2 linked regions of the Pelodiscus sinensis genome follow. The protein of the gene in region 2 purifies or fractionates together with the protein of the main gene of each other region. This does not show direct contact. Links are inferred from orthologs where the notes say so. Each region holds a gene or a part of one and is shown on either strand. Other genes may lie near its edges.

Region 1 (7,302 bases), on a different chromosome or scaffold from region 2:
GTAAACTTAAAAAACAACAAATAGTCTGGTAGCACTTTAAAGACTAACAAAACATGTAGATGGTATCATGAGCTTTTGTGGGCACGACCCCCTTCTTCAAATGTGCCCACGAAAGCTCATGATACCATTGACATGTTTTGTTAGTCTTTAAAGTACTACAAAACTATTGTTGTTTAAGTTTATCCTGTACAGACTAACTTAGCTACCCGCTGAAGCGTTTAGGAGGAGTTCTTGAACAGACAGAACAGACAGATTCGCTCGCCCATAAACAAACTCTTTCAAATATATAATAGATTGCTTAATTTATAGCAGTGAACTGCAAAGCTTCATGTGGCCTGTACTTTGAAGGTCACACCAGTGATTTTAACCATGAACTTTGTGACTCATGAAGGCATGACTTTAAAGTGGGGGGGGGGAATGATTTCTGTCTCTTCAGAGCCAGTAGTTTCTAAATGAACACAATTACAATTACTTCCAGTCAGTAAAAGTACTTGAAATCTAAAGTCAGATTTTCTCAGATGAAATTAAAAATTTGCCCCCCAAAACAAAGAATCTACATTTATTTTTGGGTATATTTTATATAAAGATCACTAAAAAGTGATGTTCTTTGACAGCACTCATTGGATTAATGTGCTTGCACGATACATTCGGACTAACATTTTAAAAAATCTATTAAATTAGTTATAACACTATATATTTTATAAAATATAGATCTCATTTGCATCTCAATACCATGTAATCAGACCTGACTGGAGTTATTCATTAGGTCAAAATGCTGCAAATTCAAAGCCTCTGTTGAACCAGCCATGCTGTGATGTTGGCAGCAGCACACTTTTAGTAATTTATTAACTTCACATGTGTTGTACTATGAAGGAAAAGTCACAGAAAGGAGGCACTGAGAAAAATGATATGTCCAGGCATATTGTCACAGTAGAGGAATTTCTTGTTGTACATTTCTTGCATCTTGCATTCTGATTATTTTTTTCCTCTTGATAATTGTCTAGTCTCACATGTTTTGGAGATACATTTCCTTGTTTTGGATTTACATTTTAAGGCAGTTTTTAAAATCTTTGCCTTTTGAGGGAAATAATTATTTTGTGCACATTTTAAAGAAACATTTGAGGATTTTGTATGTCATCCTCAGACAATCAGAGCTCAACATAGTTCTGAATATTCATTTTATAGGCCAGTGTCTTGCCCTGAACACTAGCTATTCAGTAGGTTGAGAACTTGTATAACTAGGGCAGTAGCAGCCATGATGTAGGAGGGCCTTGTTAGAAGACAGCACTAAAAACTGAAAAACACACATTCTCTGGTAACTATACTCCAGCTCTGCTGCTACTGCTGAGGAACCCTGTTTTTCATTGTAATGTGTCACTGATCATGTCCTTAGTAGCCTGGCTTTTTCTTTGTGTCCTCTTGGAAAATCACATTTATCAGCCACCTTTGCACTTTGCTGTTCCTTTTTCCGACAGACCAAAAAAAAGCATTTCAGAGTCACAAAAGGTCCAACAAGAATATTCCCTCTGTCTATGATAACTTGGTACTAGTGATGGCCTAATGTAAACATGGCTTGGAAACCTAATCTTGTATACATTTTATTCTCTATTGTTATTAATCATTTTACTTTATTTCTGAAGTACTTCACTCCATCCTTTTCTTTTACCTTTGCCTAACACTCAAAATACTGTACAATATTAGCATTAAAATATGCCAAATGACAAGGACTAAGGTTTCTTCTGCTGTTATCTGAGTATATTTAAAAGGGAGCAAAGAACACTAAGACAGAGAAGTAATGAGTATATTTAATTGTATTGATAATATCTCAGTAATACCCATTTCAGGCCTTGCCACTTTTACATTATTTGTATTATACAATAATAAAAATATTAAATTCCTGCTTTATTAGGAGCCTTCAAAAACCCTAATGCTGGCTCTGTTTGGTACCATTTAGGGGGAGTGAAAAGGAACAAGGCATTAGTGGTAGCACCTAGCAATTAAGATACTGGGTTAGAAGGAGTGGAAGATGGGCAAAATGGGTTGAATTTCATGTCCTTTATAAGACTTAATATTTTTCAAAATAAGCTCCCAAAGCTAGCCCCACTCAGTGCCCCTATCCAGTGAGGAAGGGAGCTAGCAATATTGTTGACAGGAATTATAACTTCTGCCATCATAGGGAACAGAAAAATAGGGGTCAGAAAAGACAGGGCACAAGGCCTCCCTAGCATGAGGGGGCAGCAGGCAGACGAAGGAATGGAAGGGGTACAGATCCCCTGGTTTGGGGGAATGAGGGAACACATAAGGGCTGGGGCAAGAAACAGGGATTGTTCCGCTTTCTGGGCTTTCCCTGCTTTTATTAAAATTAAGACCGTATCCTGAAGACATCTCTGCTCATTTGTCCAGTAAAGAGGAGAGTTAGTAGTAATGGAGACTATATACGGCAGACCCAACTGGAGATTCATGCCCCTTTGTGGGGTTGGACCCTGCTCAGTGCCACATTCATACCACAACTAAGCTGGCAGAAATAAGGACAATAACTGTGTAACAGGGAGACCAGGGTTTTCATGTCTCTTTTGAGAGGCAAGACAAAAGTAGTAGGCTGCATGCCTGCTTCTAAAATTAGCTTTTTAAACCCCACTCCAGATGGGTTCTTTATTGGCTGAGCAAAATTAGGCCAGACATTGAAATTGATATTTCTCTGGCTGTATTGAAAGCAATAACTTTTGAACATGGCATTCAATCAATGTAAAAGCATCAGGGAATGTTATAGACATCAGTGGTCAAAATCCTGTTGATTTTAGGGAAAATGTACAAGGGGGACATACAGTGCCTGGTGGATCTGATTTGCAAACCCTTTCGTTCATCTTTGTAAGGCTTAGAGATCAAAGAACTGGTTAACAGCAGCCATCAGCACCTTCCAGCATAATAGAAATAGTTTAAAATGTTGACATACTGGGTGTGTCTAGACTACACATCTCTGTCGACAGAGAGATGTACATTAGGCACATCGAAATTGCTAATGAAGCTGGGATTTAATTATCCTGTGCCTCATTAGCATAAACATGGCTGCCGCTTTTTTTAAACTGAGTTTTTTTAGAAAAAAACGGCAGTGTAGATGCGCATCTGTTGAAAATAAACCCTTTTCCGACAGCTCCTTTAAACACAGGGGCTACGAAAACACAGGAGCTGTCGAAAAAGGGTTTATTTTTGACAGATCCACGTCTAGATTGCCATTTTTTTCGAAAAAATTCTGTTTAGAAAAAAAGCGGTGGCCATTTTTATGCTAATGAGGCACAGTATATTTAAATCTCAGCTTCATTAGCAATTTTGCTATGCTTGATTTGTATCCCTCTGTGGACAGAAGGATGCAGTCTAGACATAGCCTCTGGCTTACCAAAAAGGGAGAAAGGAGGGATTGGGGAACCACATGGGAGTCCATGGCACAGGAGAAGAATAAAGGACTTTGGTATGGGGAAGGGGAGGCTATGTAGCCCTTGGCATGGGAGGAAAGGGGAGCCACAGTGCCCTGGCATATGGCAGTGAAGGGAGTGGGTGCATGCAGACTCTGCCACATCATCTATGGAAAAGAGGGGGCACAAGGAGCTTCTGTCATGGGGCGGCAGGCAGAGGAAGGAATGGGAAAGATTTAGAGCCCCTGGATGGGGGATGAGGGGACAACGAGCCCTTGGCAACAAGGACTGGGGCACTGATTGCAGGGGCTCTTTGCACTGGAGGGGTATTATGTACACAGGGCTTGGGGATACAAAGAGCCCCAGAAGGGTGCACTGCCTGAGCTTAGCCTCCAGAAACAAGGGAAGGGGACAACCCGTTTCCCAGCGGTGACCAGCACCATTTCTGAGCTCTCCCCTCACCCACCAGCAGCCAAAAAGACCAACCACCCTGCCTGCCCACCCCTCCCCCACTTGACGCACAGCCCCAGCAGCCTGGGCTCTTGAATGACTCATTCTTTTCTTCCTCCTCCTCCCCCCCCCCCTCTAGTTCTCGCGAGTTTTGACCTCTATAGACGCGATGTCCTTTAGAGCGCAGGGGGGAAAGAGAGGGGATTGATTGACACGAGCGACAGCCAATAATTTAGGCGGAGGGCGAGCGGCTAGCGAATGGCAGTGCGAGGGTGGTGCGGCCCGCCGCTGGCTGATTGATCCCAGCCGTGGCGTCGCTCAGTCGGAGCGAGAACATTCTAGAGGTGAGTACGCGGCAGCCATTGCAGGGGCGACCAGCAACCGCCCCCTTCGGCTTCAGCGGCGTCCGCCCCTCCCCTTCCCAGGTGCCGCCGTTCACGGTGCCCCTTGTGTCTCCCCCGCAGATTGACTGGCGCCGCCGCCGCCGCCGCTGCTGCTGATTCCGCCCGCCCCAGGACGCTCGGATCCGGCGGCTGCGGCGCCCGCCTCCTCTCCGCCCCGATATAAGCGCCCATCGGTCCCGTTCTCCTTAAAGACTCGGCTTCGTCGCAGCCCGGGGCGAGCAGCGTTGGGTTTATGTCTTTATTGGACGAAAACGGTGAGCGGCTGCCGGGGCGCGATCCGAGGGGGAGCGTCCCGGGGCGGGGGAGCGGGGTCCTCGCAGCCCCCTCGGGCGGCGGGCGAGGTTCTCGAGAAGCGGGGGCAACGGGTGGCGCTGACCGCCCCAGTCGTGGTGGCCTGTTCCCTGGTCCCCGTGCGACGAGGCAAAATGGCGGCCGCTGGGCCCGCGCCTCGTGATGCTTGGGGGGGGGGGGAAGCTGTGTGGCGCAGCTAGAAATCCGCAGCGTGGGGGGGCTGCCCTCCAGGGGTTACATCGGGAGGGGCGAGTTAGAGGGGAGATGCCGCGGAGGCCCCCGCATGCGCAATGGGGGCTGCCCCCCCCTCCCATTTTCTGTTTAGGGCTGACTCAGTGCTTCCCTTCGCTGCATTTATGAGTCATCCCATGGCTGAGGCGGGCGGAGGCTGCTCGCTCAGCGCGAAGGGATCCGGAGGCGGTGTCAGGAGGTGGGTGGAGGCTGCGGTCGGCGGCAGACAAAAGCCAGTCATGTGTCGGAGACCACACGCTTTCCTGTCTCCTTCTTCCTGAAGTACCTGGTTCCTCCATGACCGTGCAGCCACGTGTGTCGGCCACATGATGACTGCTTTCAAGGTGCTGTGGCAAGCACCTCTGGGAATGAAACTCAATCCACTGTGCTTAACCCCCACTCCCTCAAATACAAGGGTTCTTCATTGCTGCTCTTTGGCAAGACTAAGCCTGATTGTGTCAACTAGCTCCCATGGTGTAAGCTGGGGTTGTTTTTTTTTTTTTTTGCATAGTAAAACTCAAGGGCTCTCTAGTTTCTAAAGCTTAAAATTAGTCTAGTGGCACTCTAACAAATTTATTCATGTATTGGATTGTAGTCTTTCGTGAGCTACAGCTCACTTTCTTCTGAGGAAGTGTTGTGGCTCATGAAACCCTATGCTCTAATGCCCCACCAGATTCCTTGTTTTTGCCATGCAGACTAACAACTACCGCTCTGAAATCTTTTTTAAAATTAGCTTTCACTCCTAGGATTTTACATGTATTCTGGGGAAGAACTGTCTGTTATATTGGAAAGGGAGCTGTGAGCATGGTTAGGTGATCTAACTCTTTCTGGGGAGAATAAAAGTAGAGAAACTAAAGGTACCATTATTTGTCAAAACCAAGTTAACCTTTGTGGTATGCCATCCACTATACCCCATCCAGCTAACTGCCTTTCTTGATCAACTACTTTAAATGTGACTTCCAGGTAGTGCTACTAAGTATTGGGGAAACAGTGGGTTTTTTCCAGTATGGAAAAACGCATTCTTGCACAAAATGCCTGAAACTATAATGGCAACAAAACAGCGCATTTCTTTCAGAATAAGCTACTTGAACTAGCAATGTGTTAGTGTATCCAGTCATTCTAAATAACTGAAAAGATTAAACTTGTCTCGAGCAGTATCTCACTAACTGGTGAGTCAATATTTAATCACAGTACCATTAGAAAATAGGTAACCTTTTCGTAACAGCAAATATTTGGTGTAAGTGATGCAATAATAGGGTTCTTCTGAGATGCTTGGGAAGGATTGGGTCAGTCAATGAACATTTATGTGCCACAGAAGTAAGTCTAGAAATGTAAAACAGCTTAAATATTTGGAGCGTGTCTGGTAGTACTAGGTATTTCATGGCACTCTGGATAATTAGATGTAAGTAAACCAAACAGTTAAAAATTAGCCTGATCAGTAATACCATAACCAAGGGAACTTGAGGTCTGTTTTTTCTTTGACTGCTTTAGAAGAAGCCAGAAGACTTTGCATCCTGTGCCCCTTAATAGGCAAGGATGTTGTGTGTCATACTTTTCCCACCCATCTGATCATACAACATTCCTCTGATAACACTAGTAGGTGGAAACGGAGTGGGGAGAGGATGTTGCATCCTGTGTAAAGTTGGCATTTTGCAGAACAGCAGATGTTACAGTAGCAGATGTTCAGCTGCAGATCCTCAACAACAATTACACAGGCAAATATAACTAAATGCATAGGAAACTCTTGTTCTCCAAATAGTCTCACTTCTCCTGGTCACAACAAACTTCAGATCCAATAATGTCCTGCAGCATGAATATATTTGATGAAAGTTCAGCCTAAACTGTCCCCTTTATTTTTTTTAATTTATACACTTGCAGAGCTGTTGCGCAGCCATTGGTACCTGTATTGGGGGAACATAGCATACAAGCAAGAACCTTACAGCCTCAGTGGCAAAAACTTTTTCATGTCAGAGACCGAGAACTCTTGCAGTCGTTTATGTCATCCCGTCTTCTCCAGACAGAAGATACCAAAAAGCTGCAATCAAAGATCTCTTCATCTTATTGATAAAGCTACTAATAAGACAAAATGTCTGTCAATGTCAACCGCAGTGTTTCAGATCAGTTCTATCGCTACAAAATGCCCCGTCTGATTGCAAAGGTAATGCTTCCTGATCTCTAAAGTTTGTTATTTTATAGAGCTTTTTATTGACGTATCTTTTCTAAGCATTTTGAATCAGTATTGTTCCCACTTTTTTTCGAAAAACAATGATATGAAGTGACTTGACCAAGGTCACACAGTAGGTAAATGGCAGAGCTGGGAATAATGGACACCAGCTGTCCTGAGTGTTAATACAATGCTTTGTCACTATACTCTAAGTTTTCTTTAATACTGATACTGCTTTTAAACAGTGTTATAGTGACATAAATATCTGAGTTTAACTTTTCCCCTTAGGTTGAGGGCAAAGGAAATGGAATAAAGACAGTTATAGTCAACATGGTTGACGTTGCAAAGGCGC
Region 2 (7,889 bases):
CGCCAGGCAGGGCGTGACCCCCGCAGGGGCGCTGGGATCGCACGGGACTGGCCCCGCCCCATGGCCAAGGGCGGGATTGAGGCCCAGATGCGGTGGCTGCCCGGCTTGGGGTAACGCCGGGGCTTGGCCTTGCAGGACATGAGTGCGCTGGTAGCTGCTCGCATGAGGCACGTCCCCCTGGCCCCGGGCTCAGACTGGCGCGACCTGCCCAACATCGAGGTGCGGCTGTCGGACGGCACCACCACGCGGAAGCTGCGTTACACTCACCACGAGAAGAAGAACGGGCGCAGCAGCACGGGAGCGCTGCGGGGGGTGTGCTCCTGCGCGGAAGGTACAAGCGGGTGCCCGCAGAGCCTGAGCGTGCAGCAAGGAGGGGTTGGGGGGCGCTGCTGATTCTTCCCTCCCTTGAGGCTGGAATGCCCGTCTGGCTGTAACGAGCACAGAGGGCGAGCGCGCCTCTTGGGCTATCCCCAGGGCTGCCATCTTGAGGTTAAACACAGGGCCCTTGGCGCTGGGTACTGCGGGCTGCAATGTGGAGGAGCCAGGCTGTGCGCCCGGCTTCCTGGCCATCCGCCCTCCAGTGTGCGCCGAGCGACGTTCCCAGGACACCCCCGCGCTCTGGTCTCTCCCGCAGGCAAACCGTGCGACCCTGCAGACCGGCAGTTCAACACCCTCATCCCCTGGTGCCTGCCCCACACCGGCAACCGGCACAACCACTGGGCGGGGCTGTACGGCCGGCTGGAGTGGGACGGCTTCTTCAGCACCACCGTCACCAACCCGGAGCCCATGGGCAAGCAGGTGGGTGAGCGCGACCTGGCAGGGGCTGGGGGGCGGGGAGGCGGCCACACAGCGTGGCCTTGTGGGCGAGAGCCTCCTGTGCGGGCCCTTGGCCACAGCTGCCTCTCTTTACCAGGGCCGGGTGCTTCACCCGGAGCAGCACCGGGTGGTGAGCGTGCGGGAGTGCGCGCGGTCGCAGGGCTTCCCTGACACCTACAGGCTCTTCGGGAACGTGCTGGACAAACACAGGCAGGTGGGTGTCGCCGGGCGGGGCGTCTGCGCGCAGGAGCCGAGCCCAGCGCCACCCCTAGGTTCACGGCGGGGGAGGGCTCCTGGGCGGGGGGCTAAGCAGGTGAGTGGTGGAGGGCCAGCGCCCCGCCTCAGCAGCAGGGGGCAGAGAGGCGGCTGGGAAGCAGGGTCCCGGGGGGGAGAGGGGCTGGCTCAGAGGGTCACGGGTGTGATCGCACTGGGAGCTCGTGGCCGGATCTGGGCCCGTGTGAGCTCCCCCCTCTCTCGGCAGGTCGGGAACGCGGTGCCTCCGCCGCTGGCCAAATCCATCGGGCTGGAGATCAAGGCGTGCGTGTCGGCGAAAATGAAAGAGGAGGCCACAGGTACCTCGGGGGCGGGCGGACTCCGGGCCTCTGTGCCTGTGCTGAGGGAACGTGAAAACGGAACCGTGGGGCTGCCCTCCTGCGGGCTCGGCGGTCTGTCCTCGGCTAGTGGGCTGGCGTCTGTTCTCCCCCTTGGCCGCCTGCTGCCCACGCTCGACGCCCCCGCCCGGCCCGGCTTGGGGGAGGATCGGCAGGGCCGCAGCTTTAGAAAGGTCCCTGAGCAGCTGGCTGAGTGGCACCCGGAGGCCGCCCCGCCAGGGTCTCAAAGCGGGCGGCTTGTGGGTGTTCGTGTTACGGCGCCGCCTGCTGCCCAGACTGGCTAGTGGCTCCCAACTCTCAGCCTTGCTGGGGGGCCAGGCTGAAGTGGGACCTGGGGTGACGTTGACCCTCTTGGCCCTTGGCAGAGCCCAGCAAAGCAGCCAAGATGGAAGTGGCGGACTAGCCCGAGTCCCCGGCCTCGGACTCAACCATGCACTGATTTTCGTGTGTTCTGTTCTCGTTGGGCTTGCTGCCGTGACGAGGTCTGTCTCCGTGTTCGTCTCCCTGGCGCCGCGGGAGCTGTGTGTGATGGTCCAAGTGTCACTACTAATCATTCGTGATCGGCTGTGCAGTGCCCCACCGCATTCTGGATTTTAAGGACGATGTTTTTATTATGCATTGAAAATAATCAGCCACTTCCTGCGAGTGGCAATTAATACTCTGTAGTTTTTATATGTTGTAATATTTCTTCAAATAAATCTCGCCTGTAAATTATCCCCTCGGGGACGCTTCTGCTTCCCCTTCCTGGCGGCTGTTGCTGCGCCGTGTGTGAGGCGCCGACTGGAAGCTGCTGCGCTGCAGGCTCCCCCTGATCCTGCTCGCCCCCCCAGCCGGCACGAGGCCATGGCTGTACCGCTGCGGCGCTGGGCTCCATGCTGCTCCCGGAGGGGCCCGAATGCAGCACGCCTGTGAACAGCGAGATGTCTCCGGAGGGTGCCGGGGTCTCCAGTTTCTCAGAAGCCTCCGTCTTTCCATGGACTCTGCGTTCTGCTGCTTGTGCCTGGGCTGGCCAGGCCTTCCACAGGGTTGCGGGGAGTTTATTGCTTCTCCACGATACAGCCCAGCACAGATGTCATCTGGTTACAGGAACTGGGGCTAGGAGGCCTCAGTGCCCCCCTTGAGATAGGGGAGTCCCAGCCCCCTCCCCAGCTCCTTCTCCCCTGCTTTCCAGCCAGGAACTAACCACCTCTCCTCCAGCCCTGCCCCCCAGCCAGGGCAGCATCCACCTTCCTTTGTTCCTCTCCATGGGGGGTGGCTGGTCAGACAGGTTGAGAGACCCTCTTTGCATAATGACTCATCCTGGTTTGCTGGGCCGTGGTACCAACTGCAGCCAGTGGGGTTACCCCAGAGCCAGCAGCATAGAAACCAGCCAGGTACCCCCACTACGTCACAGCCACGTGGCCCACGTGTTGAGTAGCCCTGGTCTAGACCATCCCTGATAGAGGTCTGTCCAACCTGCTCTTAAGTATCACGAGCGATGGAGATTCCACAACTCCCCCCCCCCCCTCCCCCGGCAACTTATTCCAGTGTTTGACCCCCTCTGACAGTTGGGAACTTTCCTAATGTCCAGCCTGAACCTCCCTTGCTGCCGTTTAAGCCCAGTGCTTCTTGTCCTGTCCTCAGAGGCCAAGGAGAACAAGTTTTCTCTGTCCTCATGACACCCTTTTAGATACCTGAGAACCGCTCTCATGTCCCCTCTCAAATCTCCTTTCCAAACTAAACGAAGCCAATTCCTTCAGCCTCCCTTCATCCGTCATGTTCCCCAGACCGTTCATCATTCTTCATGTAGTGCACAGTCACGTTGGCTTTTTTTACAACAGTGTCAGGCTGCTGACTCATTTAGCTTGTGGTCCACTCTGACCCCTGGCTCCCTTTCTGCCGAACTCTCCTAGACAGTCACTTCCCATTGTGTGAGAGACACGGATTGTTCCTCCCTAAGTGGAGCACTTGGCGTTTCTCCTTCTTAAACTTCACCCGATGTAGCTTAGACAATTTCTCCAGTCTGTCCGGATCAGTTTGAATTGACCCACTCGCAGCCCCGTCCAACTTAGGACCATCTGAGCACTTAATAATGGCGTAACTGGAGCCTGCACGCCTCCCTTTCCTACTGGCGCCTCACTCTGCCCCACGGGTCTACGAGGGGTGGGAAATGGGGGGCGGGGGCGGCAACGGTCTATGAGGTGGGCTCACAACCCAGGGCCGTGCCCTGGGGCCGTGCTGCCCCTGCCCCAGCGAGGGGAGAACACGCAGGCCGGACTCTGCTCAGCAGCAGGGCAGATCCCTGGGAGAGGCCTGGCCCCTGCCCCGCGGTTCCCAGCTGTTCCCTTTGACGTTTCCAACCTTGGGGCAGGCTTGCTGGAGCAGTGCTGCCTAGTAGGCTGTGCCTTGGAGCCGCAGCGTCTCCCCATGTGCGCTATGGCCGGGGGTCCCAGCGCCCCGCATGTGTGCTATGGCCGGGGGTCCCAGCGCCCCCCATGTGCGCTATGGCCGGGGGGTCCCAGCACCCCCCATGTGCGCTATGGCCGGGGGGTCCCAGCGTCCCCCCACGTGCGCTATGGCCGGGGGGTCCCAGCACCCCCCATGTGCGCTATGGCCGGGGGGTCCCAGCACCCCCCATGTGCGCTATGGCCGGGGGGTCCCAGCGCCCCCCCCATGTGCGCTATGGCCGGGGGGTCCCAGCGCCCCCCCATGTGCGCTATGGCCGGGGGGTCCCAGCGTCCCCCCACGTGCGCTATGGCCGGGGGTCCCAGCGCCCCCCCATGTGCGCTATGGCCGGGGGTCCCAGCGTCCCCCCATGTGCGCTATGGCCGGGGGTCCCAGCGCCCCCCCCCGCGCTATGGCCGGGGGTCCCAGCGCCCCCCATGTGCGCTATGGCCGGGGGGTCCCAGCGTCCCCCCACGTGCGCTATGGCCGGGGGTCCCAGCGCCCCCCATGTGCGCTATGGCCGGGGGGTCCCAGCGTCCCCCCACGTGCGCTATGGCCGGGGGTCCCAGCGTCCCCCCATGTGCGCTATGGCCGGGGGGTCCCAGCGTCCCCCCATGTGCGCTATGGCCGGGGGGTCCCAGCGCCCCCCATGTGCGCTATGGCCGGGGGGTCCCAGCGTCCCCCCATGTGCGCTATGGCCGGGGGGTCCCAGCGCCCCCCCCATGTGCGCTATGGCCGGGGGTCCCAGCGCTGCGCCCTGCGGGAGCCCGGACCCCGCCCAGCAGGGGGCGCCGCCGCTACAGCCCCGCAGCAGGTGCGTCTCCCGGCATGTACCGCGCCAGCTCCGCCCCTCCCCGCTCCCGGCCAGGTGCGGCTCCCGGCATGCACTGCAGCGCCACGCCCTCTCCCAGCAGGCCCCGCGCCGCCATGCCCACGGGGCCGCTCTAGCCGCGACTCGCTGCCCCGCGCGCTTCCGCTTCCGGCCCGCGCGAGAGAGGGAGCGAGGCTGAGTCCTGCCGTCGCCGCCATGCCCACGGGGGACTACGAGTGAGGGGCGGAGCCGAGGGGGCCGGGGGGCTCTCGGGGGGCGGGGCCGGGGGGGGATCTCGGGGGCCGGGGGGGCTCTCGGGGGGCGGGGGGAGCCGGGGGGCTCTCGGGGGGCGGGGCCGGGGCGGGGCCGGGGGGGCTCTCGGGGGGCGGGGCCGGGGCGGGGCCGGGGGTCTCTCGGGGGGCGCGGGGGCGGGGGGGGCCGGGGGGCTCTCGGGGGGCGGGGCCGGGGCGGGGCCGGGGGTCTCTCGGGGGCGGGGCCGGGGGGAGCCGAGGGGGCTCTCGGGGGGCGGGGCCGGGGGGCTCTCGGGGGGCTCTCGGGGCCGGAGGGGGCGGGGCCGGGGGTCTCTCGGGGGGGCCGCTCTGTGACTGTCTCTGTCCCGCAGCTCGAAGCCCAGCTGGGCGGACCAGGTGGAGGAGGAAGGCGACGATGGTGAGAAGCCCCCGCGCGCCGGGACCCCCCCGGACCCCCCCGCCCCTCCCGGCTGGGGGCCGGGTTCGAGCCTGCAGCTCCCGGGGGCCGGGCCCCCCCACTTGCCGGGACGCGGGTGACTGCGCTGAGCTGCTGCAGGGCCAGAGCCTGGGGGTCCCCTGCCCTGGGGCTTCCTCCTGGGGGGGGGGGGTCTGAGGAGGGGGGGGCAGGCTGGTTGCTCTGTGCCGGGGGGGGGATGGTCTGAGGAGGGGGGGGCAGGCTGGTTGCTCTGTGCCGGGGGGGGGGGATGGTCTGAGGGGGGGGGCAGGCTGGTTGCTCTGTGCCGGGGGGGGGGATGGTCTGGGGGGGGGCAGGCTGGTTGCTCTGTGCCGGGGGGGGGATGGTCTGAGGAGGGGGGGGCAGGCTGGTTGCTCTGTGCCGGGGGGGGCAGGCTGGTTGCAGCCTCTCCCAGCCCCGGGGCGGAGGGGGCGTCCTTCCCCTCCCATCCTTAGATCAGTGCCGCGACCTCGCTTCTCTTCCCAGACAAATGCGTCACTAGCGAGCTGCTGAAGGACCTGCCCCTGAGTGGGGGGCTGAGCGTGACCCCGACCGTGACCCCCCAGAGCGTGGACCTGAGCGCAGATGCTGAGCTGCTGAAGGGAGGTAAGAGCCGCCGGGGTGCAGGACCCCCTGCCAGGAGCACCTGGTCTCACAGTTCTTACCGGCTTCCCCTTCCCTCTGTAGGTCCTCTCCCGTCCCCAAAGGAGCTAATCAACGGGAACATCAAAACCATCACAGAGTACCGGGAGGAGGAGGATGGGCGCAAAGTGAAGGTGAGTGGGGGGGGCGCTGGAGAGCAGGCCCTAGAGTTCCCTGGGCTCCCGGCTGGAATCCTGCGTCTGCAAAGCCCTTCCCAGCCCCTGAGCAGTGGGGCTCCCCAGTCTGGGGCTTCATTTGCTTTCGCTTCTCGGCCACTTTCTCCTAATCGCAAGGACTGGCCCTGCTAGGACTCACCCCCCTCCGAAGCCCCCACGCGCCCTGTGGCCCTCCTGCCCCATGGCCCGGCAGGCAGGCATGGCAGCTGGAGCATGGGGTGGCAGGCCCCCCCCGGCAAGCTGTGACCCCACCTGACCCCAGGGCTCTCAGCGACTGGTACTGTGGTCAGTCCAAAGCAGCCGGGAAAGGCCTCGAAAGGAGCTCGCAGAGCCAGGGGGCTGCTGAGTCCAGAGCCAAGGGCCAGGGTGGCTAGAAATGGAGTCTCTGGCCTCTGTCAGAGGCTGGGAATGGGCAAGGGGGGCGGCTCACTGGAGGGCTCTGTCCGGTCCCGCTGGGGCGTCTGGCAGTGGCCGCTGTCGGCAGCCCGGACCCTGGGCTGGGTGGGCCGTTGGTCTGACCCCGCCGGGCTGCTCTTCTGTGCTTATGTCCCAGATCATCCGCACCTTCCGCATTGAGACCAGGAAGGCCTCTAAGGCTGTGGCGCGTCGGAAGGTGAGTGAGCTCGGCCCTGGCCGCTGGCCGGGGGGTGGGATCACAGGTGTGTGCAGGGCGCTGGGAAGTGCCCCAGCCTAGTCCCACCCCACTGCTCCCCTGGGAGCCCCTTGACCTGCTGGGCAGCAGAGCTGGGTCCCGGTGTCAGCCGGGGCTCCCGTGCCTGCAGGACGCTTGGTGTCAGGGCCTGAGACGGCAAGGCCCAGGGAGTGCGTGTGGGGAACGGGGGGACGGTCTCCTCAGCCCCTCCCCCACCAGCTCATTGGCTCTTGCCCAGAACTGGAAGAAATTCGGCAACTCCGAGTTCGACGCTCCGGGCCCCAACGTGGCCACGACCACCGTGAGCGATGACGTCTTCATGACCTTCATCACCAGCAAGGAGGTGAGGGCAGAGCGGGGAGTGGCGGGGGGGCCCAGGGCTCTGACAGCAACCCATGGGCCCTCCTGCCCCCGTGCGTTGGAGCTGGGCTGCTCTAAGAGGCGGGGGGAGTCCAGGCTCGCCGGGGTGGAGTCCGGGGCCCTGCCCCTGGCGAGGAGGGCGCCGTGGGGCTGACGGGGCTCCCCCTCTGCTGTAGGACCTGAACTGCCAGGAGGAGGAGGACCCCATGAACAAGCTGAAGGGGCAGAAGATCGTGTCGTGCCGGATCTGCAAGGGCGACCACTGGACGACGCGCTGCCCCTACAAGGACACGCTGGGCCCCATGCAGAAGGAGCTGGCCGAGCAGCTGGGCCTGTCTACGGGCGAGAAGGAGAAGCTCCCAGGAGGTGCGGCTGGGGAGGGCAGGGGGCACAATGGGGCACTCTGGCTTGACTGTGGGCTGGCCAGCGGGGGCAAGGCAGGTCCCCAGGCGTGGGAGATGGGCAGGGGGCTGTGTCCAGAGATCTGGGGCTATGTGAAGGCTTAGTGAACCTGGCTGTGCTGCCTTGCTGTATGCTCCCACTGGGTCCCCCAGTGCCAGGCGCCCCTGCTGCTCCGGGTCTGGGTGCAATTGAGTCCGCCCGCCTGGCCGCACCCAGAGCTTAACCCGCCTTGCCAGCTCGTTGACTAGCCCACCCCTGGCGTGGCTGCTCTGCCTCTTCCCAGGCAGCTC

What was found. Proteins that work in one complex are often made in the same cells at the same time.
Region 1: the proteins of EIF3G (region 2) and EIF5 purify together in Homo sapiens (affinity purification with western blotting; 3 studies listed by BioGRID and IntAct, with this or other methods). This does not show direct contact. The link is inferred for Pelodiscus sinensis from reciprocal best matches to the Homo sapiens genes EIF3G and EIF5.

Annotation. Positions count from the first base shown.
Region 1 is NC_134714.1:20,702,867-20,710,168, reverse strand, and holds the start of EIF5 (eukaryotic translation initiation factor 5), read left to right. Parts: upstream 1-4,048; 5' UTR 4,049-4,204; intron 4,205-4,324; 5' UTR 4,325-4,518; intron 4,519-4,806; exon of another isoform or gene 4,807-4,985; intron 4,986-6,664; exon of another isoform or gene 6,665-6,803; 5' UTR 6,804-6,872; coding exon 6,873-6,944; intron 6,945-7,238; coding exon 7,239-7,302.
Region 2 is NC_134729.1:14,996,112-15,004,000, reverse strand, and holds the start of EIF3G (eukaryotic translation initiation factor 3 subunit G), read left to right. Parts: upstream 1-4,739; 5' UTR 4,740-4,878; coding exon 4,879-4,898; intron 4,899-5,284; coding exon 5,285-5,331; intron 5,332-5,853; coding exon 5,854-5,973; intron 5,974-6,054; coding exon 6,055-6,143; intron 6,144-6,738; coding exon 6,739-6,798; intron 6,799-7,075; coding exon 7,076-7,180; intron 7,181-7,373; coding exon 7,374-7,563; intron 7,564-7,889. Other genes in the region: DNMT1 (DNA (cytosine-5)-methyltransferase 1), read left to right, coding at 136-331, 635-798, 914-1,030, 1,298-1,388, 1,793-1,830. UniProt on the Homo sapiens protein: RNA-binding component of the eukaryotic translation initiation factor 3 (eIF-3) complex, which is required for several steps in the initiation of protein synthesis.